Cricetulus griseus: one gene and its partners. The protein of the gene in region 2 purifies or fractionates together with the protein of the main gene of each other region. This does not show direct contact. Links are inferred from orthologs where the notes say so. Each region holds a gene or a part of one and is shown on either strand. Other genes may lie near its edges.

Region 1 (3,502 bases), on a different chromosome or scaffold from region 2:
CTGCCAAGCAAGTGAAGCCAGCAGAAGAATGACAGTTGCTTACTGTGCCAGGCCAGGGAAAGGGGGGCCAGCTCCAGGGCCCTGTGCCACCCTGTCTTTGTGAGGCAGAGACAGCTTTGTATTTATTCAATTCAAAGACTACCTGTCTGCTCAGTTGGGGCTCTGAGGTCAGAGATCAGGTTACCTTAGAGTCATGATTTGCACTCCCCATCAGTGTATTTATTCCAATGACAATAAACTGTAGCTACCGCTGAAGGTGTGTTTTGGCTTGCTGATCTAAGATGGGCTTGGCTGTGAGAACTGGAATGGTGAAGGGGAGAGCTGTCACTATCAGGGTGGGACCTGGAACTACTCCTGGTCGAGCTTCTGAAAGATGTAGTACTCTTGCATCTGATTGATACAGTGGGGCATTGTATATTTATCCCACATTTTCCAACTGCCCTCTAAATATCAGATCCTACGGCACGTAAGGAGGGCACAGGTAGGGTCACCTCATTTCTGTATAGGGTTTGGGGGAAGACCAAGAAAGTGGTAGTCCTACCAGGTGGGGCTCAGCATGCCAGGATGATCATGGAGGAACAAGCAGGGACGTTCAGAGCCAAGGCAGCATAGCCTTGTGTCTACCGAATACCAGAAGAGGAGCCAAGAGGCTTGGATGCAGTGAATTTTAGGATCTGGGAAGGAGGAGCAGATGATGGGAAAGCTTGGATGAACAGTTTAAGCACCGCGCTCCACCAAGTGTATGCTGCCCTCTTGTGGCCTGAGGGAGTGCCTCGGCTCCTTCAACTGCCTGTAGACCAACCAATTTGTAGTTTTGCTGGCACGCAAAATGCAGCTTGTCCAAAACGATCTGAAACTAGCAGTCATCCTAGACTATTCCAACAAATAGTTCCCGGCTCTTTCCCAGAACTTCCTACGAGTTTTTACCAAGTTAATTAATCTCTTCTCAATTCTTGCCATTTCGGTGGTTAATCAACATGTTGGACAGATGTTGCAGAACCTGTTTCACTCTGAGTACTGTACTAGGTTCCGTGGGCACCCTCCTACCCCCGCGCCTGACGCGTTATGATGGTGCAGGGTACAGACCCTTCCCAAGGTCACGGTATCTGTTGCCCCCACTACCGGATCCTCCTAGCCTATACGCCAATCTATGGCCAATGAGTTGTGCACAAGTTATGGCTTAGTCCCTTCTGAAGACTACCAGGGTTGTCCAGTGCCCCAGGATGAGAACAAAGCTCAGAACTAAGGGTCTCGCCCGCTTGTATCCACCAATGCTTCAGCTTCTCCTTCACCGATGCGGTGAGTCAACAGGTGACGCGCACCATCCATCGTTTAAGGGCACAGATTCGCATTCTTCATGCTCAGGACTCCTCCGATAGCCATTCCTCTCCCGGGCAGGGCCCTCTGCGGGTTCTGGCGTGCTTCGGCATCACCGCGGACCGCGGGATGCGGGCCAGCTGCGGGTACCAGCTCAGCTGAGCCCAACGGCGTCCCGGGTTTCCCTCAGGCCCCGCCCCCTGCGTGCGCGCTCCCGCGGCCCCGTGCGCTCCCGGTCTGCGCGCCATCTTGGGTCGAGCGTGGACGGGCGGTAGTGGTAAGAGCCAAATCCCAGGGCCTGGGTACTCAGACGTGGGGAAAGGGGATGTCTGCTGCCTGGGACAGCGGCCCACGACCGGGGAGCCCGCCAGACCGTCCATGTTTGGTCCGAGCAGTGGTCTGTGCGAGCCCCCACTCTCGAGTTCCCGAATGGCCTGGCTCAAGCCCCCCAACCCTGGTAATCTAAGGATGAAGTCTACTCAGCCGGCCGAGAGCCCGGAGGGGCCGGTTCTTTCTTTAGGGAGTACTTTGTGAGAGTTCGTGGCTGTGCCCCAGGCAGCCTGGGGCCAAGTCTTGATTCTGTTTCCTGGAAGCACACAGTGAGAGGAGCTTGTCCGAGTCCTTGGAAGCCTAGTGAGGAAAGGCTCCTGTTTTAGAGAGTTGTGGGTGAGGAGGGGTCTGGCCTAGCCCTGAAAAGCTTGAGCTGATGAAGCATGGCCCTATCCCGGATAGCCTGGTTTGGGGAGTGGGGGGAGTTTGGTTCTTTCCGTGTGTAAGACTCTCCAGCCTTGGGGTGAGGGGTATATCCTGGAGGGAGTGATGGAGGATGGACCTGGTCATAGTCCTGACACTCATCTGACCGCTTCCCCCAGTGCACAGCAAGAGAGATTCACCAAGGCCACCGGAGCAGAATGGAACACTACCGGAGGGCTGGCTCTGTAGAGCTCCCAGCATCTTCACCAATGCCCCAGCTACCTCCTGACACCCTGGAAATGCGAGTCCGAGATGGGAGCAAAATCCGAAACCTGCTAGGACTGGCTTTGGGTCGTTTGGAGGGGGGGAGCACAAGGCATGTGGTGTTCTCAGGCTCTGGCCGGGCAGCTGGGAAGGCTGTCAGCTGTGCAGAGATTGTCAAACGGCGGGTCCCAGGCCTCCACCAACTCACCAAGCTTCGTTTCCTGCAAACTGAGGACAGCTGGGTCCCAACCTCACCAGACACAGGCCTAGACCCCCTCACAGTTCGACGTCACGTGCCTGCAGTGTGGGTGCTACTCAGTCGGGACCCCTTGGACCCCAGTGAATGTGGCTACCAACCCCCGGGAGCGCCCCCAGGCCTGGGCTCCATACCTAGCTGTGGTCCCAGACCCCGAAGAAGGGCTCGGGACACCCGGTCCTGAAGACCTGCTGAGCCTGACTGTACTCTAGACCTGATTCTCTGTGCCTTCTGTAAGAAGGGCTTGTGTGACACTTAACATGCCAGCAAGGCTTGAGTCCACTGGAGTCCTGCCTCCCCTCCCCCCTGGGATGCGGGATGCTATGAAGAATGAAGGGCATATGGGGTCAGTGCTGAGTTACAGACTGCTTGAGAAGGGCTTACTCTGTCTACAGTATATCTGACTTGCCTTTTTTGACATCAGTCTAGGAGAGGGAAATAAAGGTCATGCCCATTTGTTTGGCCTGCTTGTGTGTAAGTGGGATTGGAGGGGTGTGAGGCCCGCCTTGCCCCGGAGCTCATGGCCTGGAGGCCAGAAGGGTAGGTAGAGGCCGCTGCTGGGTGGATCTGGTGTCAATACATTTCAAGCAGTCACCTGCATGACTTTTTGCCACCTGCTTTAAGCTGGCTTGGGACTCAACCAGGTCAGGCATTTCTCCCATCTGTGTCATATGTTTTAGAATAGTGGGATCATGAACTCGGGCTTTGCCTGTCACGGTTTTAGTCCTGGCTCTCCCACTCACAAGTTACTGCTTTGTAGTTTTGGATAAAGCTACTTCCTGGACCTTTGTGCTCCCATCTGTAAAATGGGGTGTAGAGGGTTTACCTCATTGGCATTCTTTTTTAATAATTTATGTTCATTGGTGTGAAGATGACAGATTTCCTGGAGCTGGAGTTACATACAATTGTGAGCTGCCATGTGTGTGCTGAGAATTGAACCCAGGACCTCTGAAACAGCAGCCAGTGCTCTTA
Region 2 (4,248 bases):
TCTATGAGTTTGAGACCAGCCTGGTCTACAAGATCTAGTTCCAGGACAGCCTCCAAAGCCACAGAGAAACCCTGTCTCGGAAAAATAAATAAATAAATAAATAAATAAATAAATGGGAAAAAAATCAGTAAATGAGTTAATAAGACCATGGTAACAAGATATCGTGGTTATAGCTCATTTAACAGCAATGTAATTTTAAACATCTTTGAATTTGTATGATATATATTAGTTCAGTTATTACTGTAAAAGAGTAAGCATAGGGTGTTTTTAAAGAAGTATAGTTGAGGGTTGGGGATGCAGCCCAGTGAGTAGAGAGGGTGGAGACACAGTGTTGCAAGGTATTTGATTACATTGTGTAAAGATATGTCACTGTGTTTTAATAAATATTAAATGACCAACAGCTATGTAGAAGGTATAGGTGGGACTTCTGGACAGAGAGAACTCTGGGAAGAAGGGGGAGTCACAGCTGGACTCAGAAGAAGCATGACGTGTAGGAGGAGAGGTAAAAACCATAAACTACATGGCAGCACGATGATTAACAGAAATGGGTTAAGTCATAAGAGCTAGTTAGAAACAACCCTCAGCTAAGGCCAAGTTTTCATAATAAGAAGTCTCACTATTTGGGAGCTAGCAGTACAGAGAAGACTTGCCACATGGCAGCTCAGTAAGTAGAGGTAGAGTGATTTCTAAAATGCACACCACCTTGCCTTCTACCCCTGCATCTCATAAACTGGGCATGGGCTTGTAATCTTAGCAGGAGGTCTTCGTTGGCAACACAGTTGAATTCCAGGCCAGATTGGGACACATAAGATTCTGTCTCAAAACGCAAACATGCTTGTGATGACTTATGCTTCACTACCAATTTTACTGGACTTAGAAATGATGATGGAAACACACCTCTGTATTTCTATAATGGTGTTTCCATAAAGGGTTAACCCAGGAGGGAAGACCCACCCTGAATGCAAACTGAGCTATTTCATGGGTTGGAGTTCTAAGGGAACTAACTAAAAAGGAGAAAGTGAGCTGAGCCCCAGCATTCATCTCCTGCTTCCTGACCGAGGAGGAACTGTGACTAGCCACTTCATGCTCCTGCTGCCATACCTTCAAAGTATAAGAAAATAAACTCCTCCTTCCTTGTGTTGTTTTTGTTAAGTATGTGGTCATTGCAACAAGTCCACATTTCTAGTTCCTTATTCCCAACACAAATACAAATATTTGTAAATGTTGTTTTTGATATTTTTTTCTGGGATAGGGTTTCTCTGTGTAGCTTTGTAGACCAGACTGGCCTTGAACTCAGAGATCTGCCTGCCTCTGCCTCTGGAGTGCTGGGATTAAAGGCGTGTGCCACCACTGCTGGGCTTGTAAAGTCTTAATATTTATTTACTAATTAATCAGAGAAATCTTATTTTACCTGTTTCTTTTCCTTAAAGTCAACAATATGATTGATGGCAACAACTGAATATCCAACTGAAAAAAAAATAGATTATTTAAAAAATATTCTTTCTTGTTCAAGAGTATGAGATGAGGTTAGGGATGTAGCTAAGTGTTAGAATGCTTGCTTAGCATACACAAAGCCCTGGATTCTGTTTCTAGACTTGGAAAGTAAGAGGGTTTAATAATATTTACTGTTATGTTTCAGGTTGTTCATCTGTCAAGTGATGTTAACAGCAGACAGCACTTCAGAGTGTCATGAAAATTAAGCATTTTAGAAGAGTGCCAGGCACATATTTAGGCTGTGATTTATGCTAGCAAAACACTAAAAACACCTTGTTTCTGCTTTCCAAACAATATTCTCAGGATTTCCTGCCCCTTTGTTCATTTTTATTCCATCAAGTTTATGTGTCTTTCCGTCACCTTCATTATCATTCATTTCTTCTGCGATGCTCTATTTCCTCCCTTACCCGAAGGTGCAATGGAAGGACGAATCCCTTACACCTCTTTTGAGGTGCTCTACAGTAAAAGACAGGGAAAACGACGGTTTGCCTTATCCTCACAACAGTTAGCACTGCTTGGAAAAGTGCCTCTGTCGCCAACACATCTAAATCACGACTCTTGTCTTTAAGTTGTCTAAAGACCAACAAGATGATAGAGTATTAATATAAAAGATAGTGCATGGTAATGGCAAACTAGTCTAATAACTCCCGAGTTCAAGCTATTAGAGCATCCATTATTTGACAGACCCTATGGCAGGCGACAGCACACATGATTAATGCTCATCCCCAAGGAACTTAAAACTCGGGAGAAATAAGGTAACACCCTCCCCATTCTCTAAGAGTCCACAGCAGTTCCTGCCTGCGACCCAGCTTTCTGTATTTGTCAGATGTCGTCGGGGCCCAAAAGGACTGACGTTAAAAGCACCCACCGGCTTAGGGGACTGTACACCTGGAGTCCAGTCCCAGAGCCTACCATTCATCAGCTCACAGCCCCCTTGCCAACACCTCGACCCCTTTGGCCTCTGTTCTCTCCCTCCGCACGGAAAGACTGTGCAAGCCCAGGCAACGGCAGCTTCCTCAGTAGCCTGTGAGTTTCACACGCCAGGGATCCGGGAGACATAGCAACTACCATTTGCCTCTAGGGAAATGCCGCAATCCCACGAGAGACCCAATAATAGGGCCTGGAAAAACTACCAAGCAAACCGGTGGTATGGGGGCAGCGAGGGGCCGGGCTCGCGGGGCGAAGCCAGTAGACTCACGGTGAGCAGCGGTCTCCACCAGTCCCCGAAGAGCCTTCAAGTCCGAGCCCGCTCTTAGGTCCAAATCTGCGAACGCCGCCATGCTGACGTCCCAGGAGCACCCGCGCGCCAATCTGCGCAGTCGCCCTGTTATTCCTCGAGCATGCTGGGAGTTGTAGGCTGTCACTTTGGCATCCTGGGATTTGTGGTTTTTCCCTTCTCAGTCGTCTACTCTCTGCACAGTATTTCCTGTCCTCTAGAAACCAGCCAAAGTTAGTGTGCTCGAACCTACAGCCTCACTTACTCCCTTTTTGTCGTGATTTGAACGAGAATGTTTGGTAGACACAGTAGGGTCTTTCCCCCCGCCCCTCTCGCCAATACAACAGAGTAGAAAGTGATTCATTCTAAACACACCCATAGAGCATTTTGAGATCAAGCAGACGTCTAAGGTCGTGAAGCCCTGTTCCAAGAGCTGGGTGAGCCTGGGGTGGTGGCCCACGCCTTCAGTTCCAGCAATTGGAGGGCTGAGGCAACTCTATGAGTTTGAGGCCATCCTGATCTACACGGTGACATCCAGGCCAGAGAGGGATACATAAGTCTCCAAAGTAGGTAAGTTGATAAGCACATGAAGAGACATGGGAAAATGTTTTTCTTTCCTTTCTCTAATGTCCATTCCATTCTTTGAAAATGGGCTTAAAAGCCTCTTTGAAGCGCTTGCTCTGGGGCGGATTGTTTTAGTTCTTTGGGCTAAGCCTAAGATAATGGGTCTCTGTTATAGAAACATCTACAACCACAAGATGGCAGGGCACTCTCAAAGATGAAAGCTTAGCGACAATACACAAATTTTCATGAGACATATTGCAATATCATTTGATGTTTCTACTTTAAAAATTAACTTTTGAATATTGGCAGATCAATTATCCGACGGCATAAAATGCTGGCATTCTTTTTAATCCACTTGATGCAGAAGGGCAGTTCTTTACTCCTTTCCATTCTGTCTCTGGCTGGCTAGCATGGGAATCCTTTATGCATTACCAATAAGCTGCCCCAGCCTCCTGCAGCTCAGTAATATGATATCTGAACTGCTGGGTTCTCAAATAAGAAAAGTCTATCGATCAGTAGGACTTGACCATTAGGACAATAACGAAGTGCTGAAAAGGTTTAGAAACATTTCAATTTCTGTACTGATTGCAAACAGTATGAGGACTTCCCCTCTGATCACACTTTGAGTAATACTCTTCAACATAATGGTCTCTAATTTCTTACTGATTTTTGAGAGAATATTTATTATTATTATTATTGTTATTTTGAAACAGGTTATTGTTAGTAGCCCAGGGTGGGCTCAAATTCACAATCTTCTTGTCTCAGAATCCCGAGCGTTGGGATCACAGCTGTGCTTTGCCACACCTAGCTTTGGTTAATTTACATAAAGAAAAAAATTGTTGTTTTGTTTGGTATTTCCCCCAAACAAAACAACAGCAAAACAACTTCTGCCACTAGAGCAAAGTCATACAAAACAAACCACTGGCTTTTCAACAGAATGTCTAGTGCTGGCTTTTGTACAAGTAGAAAGGCAT
Region 3 (4,342 bases), on a different chromosome or scaffold from region 2:
ACTTTTGTTAAGCAATATTTTAAAATGTCTTAATCCCAGCACTCTTGAGATAGAGGCAGGGGGATCTCTGTGAGTTTGTAGCCAATTGATGTACATAGCCAGTTCTCAGACAGCCAGGCCTACAGAGGGAGACTCTGTCTCAAACAAGTGATCAGGTGTACATTATGGAGTTCACATGTTATGAGCTTTCAAGGGCACTTTCTCAAATACACTCTGATAGATGCTAAAATAGTTGCAGGCCTTTGTAAAGGAAACACATTTAGTGACCATCCTGCTGTTATCAGGCTGTCCCCAAACTCTAAATCCTATGTGCCTTACCATGTCCTGTACTGCTTAAGATCAAAATGGCACACACTTATCACCCAAAGATCTACAAAGCCTATGTTTCTTAAACAAGGATGCGGTGTTGTTTGCCCAAGTTTTTCTGAGAATTCTTTTTGCCTTTAAAAGGTTGCATAGTGCTCACTATTAAGAAAACCACTGCTTTCCCTTACCCACCCTCCAAGTTAGATCCAGCACTCAGGAAATTAAAGGCAGTGTCTGGACAGAACCAAGGCAACCTGAGCAGGCTTGGCTGGACCTTTGGATTCCAGAGAATCACTTTTTGTCTTTTATCATACTGACAGCACCAATTCTCCCAGTCTCAAGGATGCTTTTTGGGTTGGATGCAGGAAGGGAAGCCTACACAGGAATACTCCATTTCCAAGATCAGCCTAGGCTACATAGCAAATGTCTGGGCTACTCAGGGAGACTTTGTCTTTAGAGGAGAAAAATAAATTTAAAAAGCAAGTGTTCTGAGACCAAAGCCAGCTAAAGTTACTCTCTCTTTTCAGTCATAGGAAACAGACCCTTAAACGAGGTGATAAAAGTACTTAGTAGCTGAAACAGATGTAAATCCCCATCATCATTACACAATGTGACTAGTAATACTGTGAATGAATTCTAGGACAGCCATGGGCATTGACTCCCTTGCTTAAAAAATAAATAAATAAATAAATAAATAAATAAATAAATAAATAAATAAATAAATAAAACTGAGGGTTGTGGCAGTTGCCTTTAATCCAGCACGCAGGAGGCAGAGGCAGGAGGATCTCTGAGTTTGAGGCTGCCTGGTCTACAGAGTGAGTTCCAGGTCGGGCAGCGCTGTTAAACAGTGGAAACCCTGTCAGGGAAAACTGAAGGGAAAACAAAACTCCAAAGGACTCCTAAACCCTCACTGCAGCCATTACCTCCGCTATTTCAGGCGCATTCGGGCCTTCCTGGCCCCAGTCTCCCTGGCGTCCTCTTCAGGACAGCTCGCCTCCTGTGTTCCTGTGTTCTGACCCGCAACCCGACTGTGGCCGCCAGGGGGCGACACCAACTGAAGAGACAGCGAAAAACAGGCTCCGCTCCGCCAGCCACAGACGCGGCCGCCTCCCTCGCCCCTCCCTCGGCTGCAGAGCCAAACACAAGGCGCATGTCCGCCAGAGGCCGGCGCGGCTCCATGACGTCACGCGAGGCGCCATAGCGGAAGTCAGATCGGGGTCCATTGAAGTACTGGAGCGAGTCTGTGTGTGGACTGTGCCCGCGTCGTTTCTTGGGCACAGCGGATTTGTCCAGCGGAAATTTCAACCAGAAAGAGTCCCGGTGGCCGAAAGCTGCTGAAGAGAGCTAATAAAGGGAAGCAGTGAGCGAGGCCCGAAGGAGACTTCACCAGAGCTCGCGGGAAGCCGCCGACAATGAAGGGTCAGTGTCACGAGAGATTCGAAATCGGGGTGGATGACAGCATAGAGGGTCGGGAATGGAAGCCGAATCAGGGATCCTGTCACAACAGAGTCCCGAGACAACTTCCAGGCAACTGACTCAGTACACAAAAGCAGTCGAGGCCCAGAGTGTGAATCGGCCAACTCAGTCTCTAAGCTGGAATAGATGTCAGGATGAGTGTGTGGTACCCCAGGGAACTGGTGACGCTCAGGAGAACTGGAAGAGGTGCAGCCAAGGCCTTTAGCTTGTCCTGACCACTGCCTGCCTGTATAACTATTGCTCCCTTCCACATCCTGGCTTTTCACCCTTTCTCTTATAAAAAGCTTCCCGGGCGCAGTGTCACAAACCTAAGGCGTTGGTATTTGAGCAGAAAAGGGATGAGCCAGGAAGGGAAGCAAGCACTGGAGCGGTATTAGAGCAGAGAGAGCACAATGTAAAGATTAAGCCTCTGATCTAATGATTTCCACCCCTGCTGTGTCCTTTCATCCTCTGATGCCTTGGCATGACTCAATGTCAATATTATTATGTGCATACAAGGAAATAATTATATTCCGAATGGCTTAGAAAGGTTAATGAGATTGAAATAAATTATATACACACCTATGAGTATATATATGTACTTATGTATGCATGTATGTATGCATGTATGTGTTGCTGTAAAACAAGTACTTGACAAGCACTGAGTGTACCAGAGCTGTCACATGTGTACTGCAGCAGGAAGTCTTCCAGCTCTCATGCTAGGCATCTGCAGTAGGTAAAGCAACATTATTCCTGGGGTCCCAGGCCCTGCACATTTTCCTCAAGAAACAAAGTATAGTCTTAATCTGCAGTTCAAGGGAGAACTAAAGATTTTGTATGTAAAACTGGTAACTCTCTGGTCAGACATGTACCCAGGGAAGCACAAGAGAACAGACATGGGCTTTTGTTTGTTGGTTTGTTATTGTAGCTGTTGGGATGAGGTCAGCTATGTAGTCCTGACTGAGCTGGGACTCACTATGTAAGCTAGGCTGCCTCACCCTCTGAAGTGATGGGATCAACTGTGTGTGCCACCACACCCAGCTCAGAGACTGAGTGTATAGGGTGTAGTGTGAGCTACATATTCTGGTCATTTGCTCTTTCTTATCTCCTTTATTCCTGTACTCTGCCCCCACCACCATGGTGGTTTCCTCCAAACAAATACCAAACAGGAGCATGAGGTTTAGAGAAAGTTTGGCATCATGCTGGACATATTTAGAATTTGAAGAAAGACTGTTGTATCTATCTGGTCAGGGTACATTCCAATTTTATGGATTAAAGACTTAAAAATCTGTTTTAAACTTCTTGTACTCTGCAAATTGTTCAGTTTCAATCAACCACACCCTAGCCATTAATATCACCTCACTTTTAGTGTCTTCACTACTAAGTGAGCAACCACCCAAGCATAATTATAACTTGTATTTTCAATCAATCAATGTGCACCATTGAGGAATTTTTTTGGACATGCAGAGTCTAGAGTAGAAATTAAAACCGGTGTCTTTATAAGAGTCCAGTGATTCTTAAACAAGTTAAGCTTTGAGAGGTGCTCTTTTAAACCTCATCCTGGGAATTTCCAGGACAAATCTCTGGCCAAGGGAAGAGTAAAATGTATCTGGGATAATTGTGGTGGTACACGTGTATAATCCAGCAACTAGCACTTGGGTGCCTAAGACAGGAGTACTGAGGGTTTAAGGCCACTGTGGGCTATATAGCGAACTCTAAGCCAGCCCAGGATACAAACTGAAAGCCTGTCTTTAAATAAATGTGTAAATAAGCCGCATTGAGTAGGGTCGGGGGCATGGATCCATGGTGAAGCCTGCCCTGCATTAAACCCCACTGAGTTTAATCTCCTGGCACTGCAGAGTATAATAGAAGGATCATCCAAGAAAGCTTTGCCTTTTCATACTAACCCAGTAGTCCTCATCTGAATAAGAGTGCTTATTCAGAAGTCATAGTTGGAAAAGCCTTGGATATTATACTCACTCCTCACAGGAAGTAATCTTCTCTTTTTGTCTTTTATCCCCCAGCTGTGATTTACCATGCCCTTTCTCATAAAGAAGCCAAAGAGCACGATGTACAGGTACAATCTTTGAAAGGTGGGCTGGGAGCAGGAGACGTGGCAACAAAGATGGCTCAGAGTCTGGTCTAGCTGTCCTTCCCATGGATTACTTCTCATCTTTACATTCAGTACATTAGGCCCCATCAAGGTCTTTAGTGCTGATGTCTTCTTGTGCCAGGCTCCTTTCCTAGGGTACCAGAGTCACTCTGAGGGACTTGGATTCCTTGATTTCATGTCATCTCCCACTCTGTAGGGAATGACAGTGACAGCCTGTGCCTGAAACCTCTCTTGTTCTTGCTTCTCTGCCCTGTTCAGTGTGCTCAGCCTATTTCATAAGTGAATGTTACAGATTCTATCTGGGTATGTCAGCAAGCTTTGTCAGTTGGGCTGAAGCTTCACATGTGGCTCATAAAGAGAGCATATTCTGCCAGGCTGTGTGGAGCTTGCCTTTAATCCCGGCACGTGGGAGGGAGAAGCAAGAAGCTGTCTCATTTCAAGGACAGCCAGAGCTACACAGAGAAAACC

What was found.
Region 1: the proteins of Rpp30 (region 2) and Rpp25l purify together in Homo sapiens (co-immunoprecipitation; 3 studies listed by BioGRID and IntAct, counting the BioPlex papers as one, with this or other methods). This does not show direct contact. The link is inferred for Cricetulus griseus from reciprocal best matches to the Homo sapiens genes RPP30 and RPP25L.
Region 3: the proteins of Rpp30 (region 2) and Pop4 purify together in Homo sapiens (affinity purification with mass spectrometry; 4 studies listed by BioGRID and IntAct, counting the BioPlex papers as one, with this or other methods). This does not show direct contact. The link is inferred for Cricetulus griseus from reciprocal best matches to the Homo sapiens genes RPP30 and POP4.

The regions. Positions count from the first base shown.
Region 1 is NC_048595.1:100,887,696-100,891,197, forward strand, and holds Rpp25l (ribonuclease P protein subunit p25-like protein), read left to right. Parts: upstream 1-1,605; 5' UTR 1,606-1,642; coding exon 1,643-1,774; intron 1,775-1,790; exon of another isoform or gene 1,791-1,983; intron 1,984-2,189; coding exon 2,190-2,714; 3' UTR 2,715-2,987; downstream 2,988-3,502. Other genes in the region: Dctn3 (dynactin subunit 3), read left to right, coding at 1-32. UniProt on the Homo sapiens protein: May be a component of ribonuclease P or MRP.
Region 2 is NC_048596.1:25,691,105-25,695,352, forward strand, and holds the start of Rpp30 (ribonuclease P protein subunit p30), read right to left. Parts: upstream 2,841-4,248; 5' UTR 2,775-2,840; coding exon 2,693-2,774; intron 1,468-2,692; coding exon 1,412-1,467; intron 1-1,411. UniProt on the Homo sapiens protein: Component of ribonuclease P, a ribonucleoprotein complex that generates mature tRNA molecules by cleaving their 5'-ends. Also a component of the MRP ribonuclease complex, which cleaves pre-rRNA sequences.
Region 3 is NC_048599.1:152,153,407-152,157,748, forward strand, and holds the start of Pop4 (ribonuclease P protein subunit p29), read left to right. Parts: upstream 1-1,489; 5' UTR 1,490-1,718; coding exon 1,719-1,725; intron 1,726-3,785; coding exon 3,786-3,838; intron 3,839-4,342. UniProt on the Homo sapiens protein: Component of ribonuclease P, a ribonucleoprotein complex that generates mature tRNA molecules by cleaving their 5'-ends.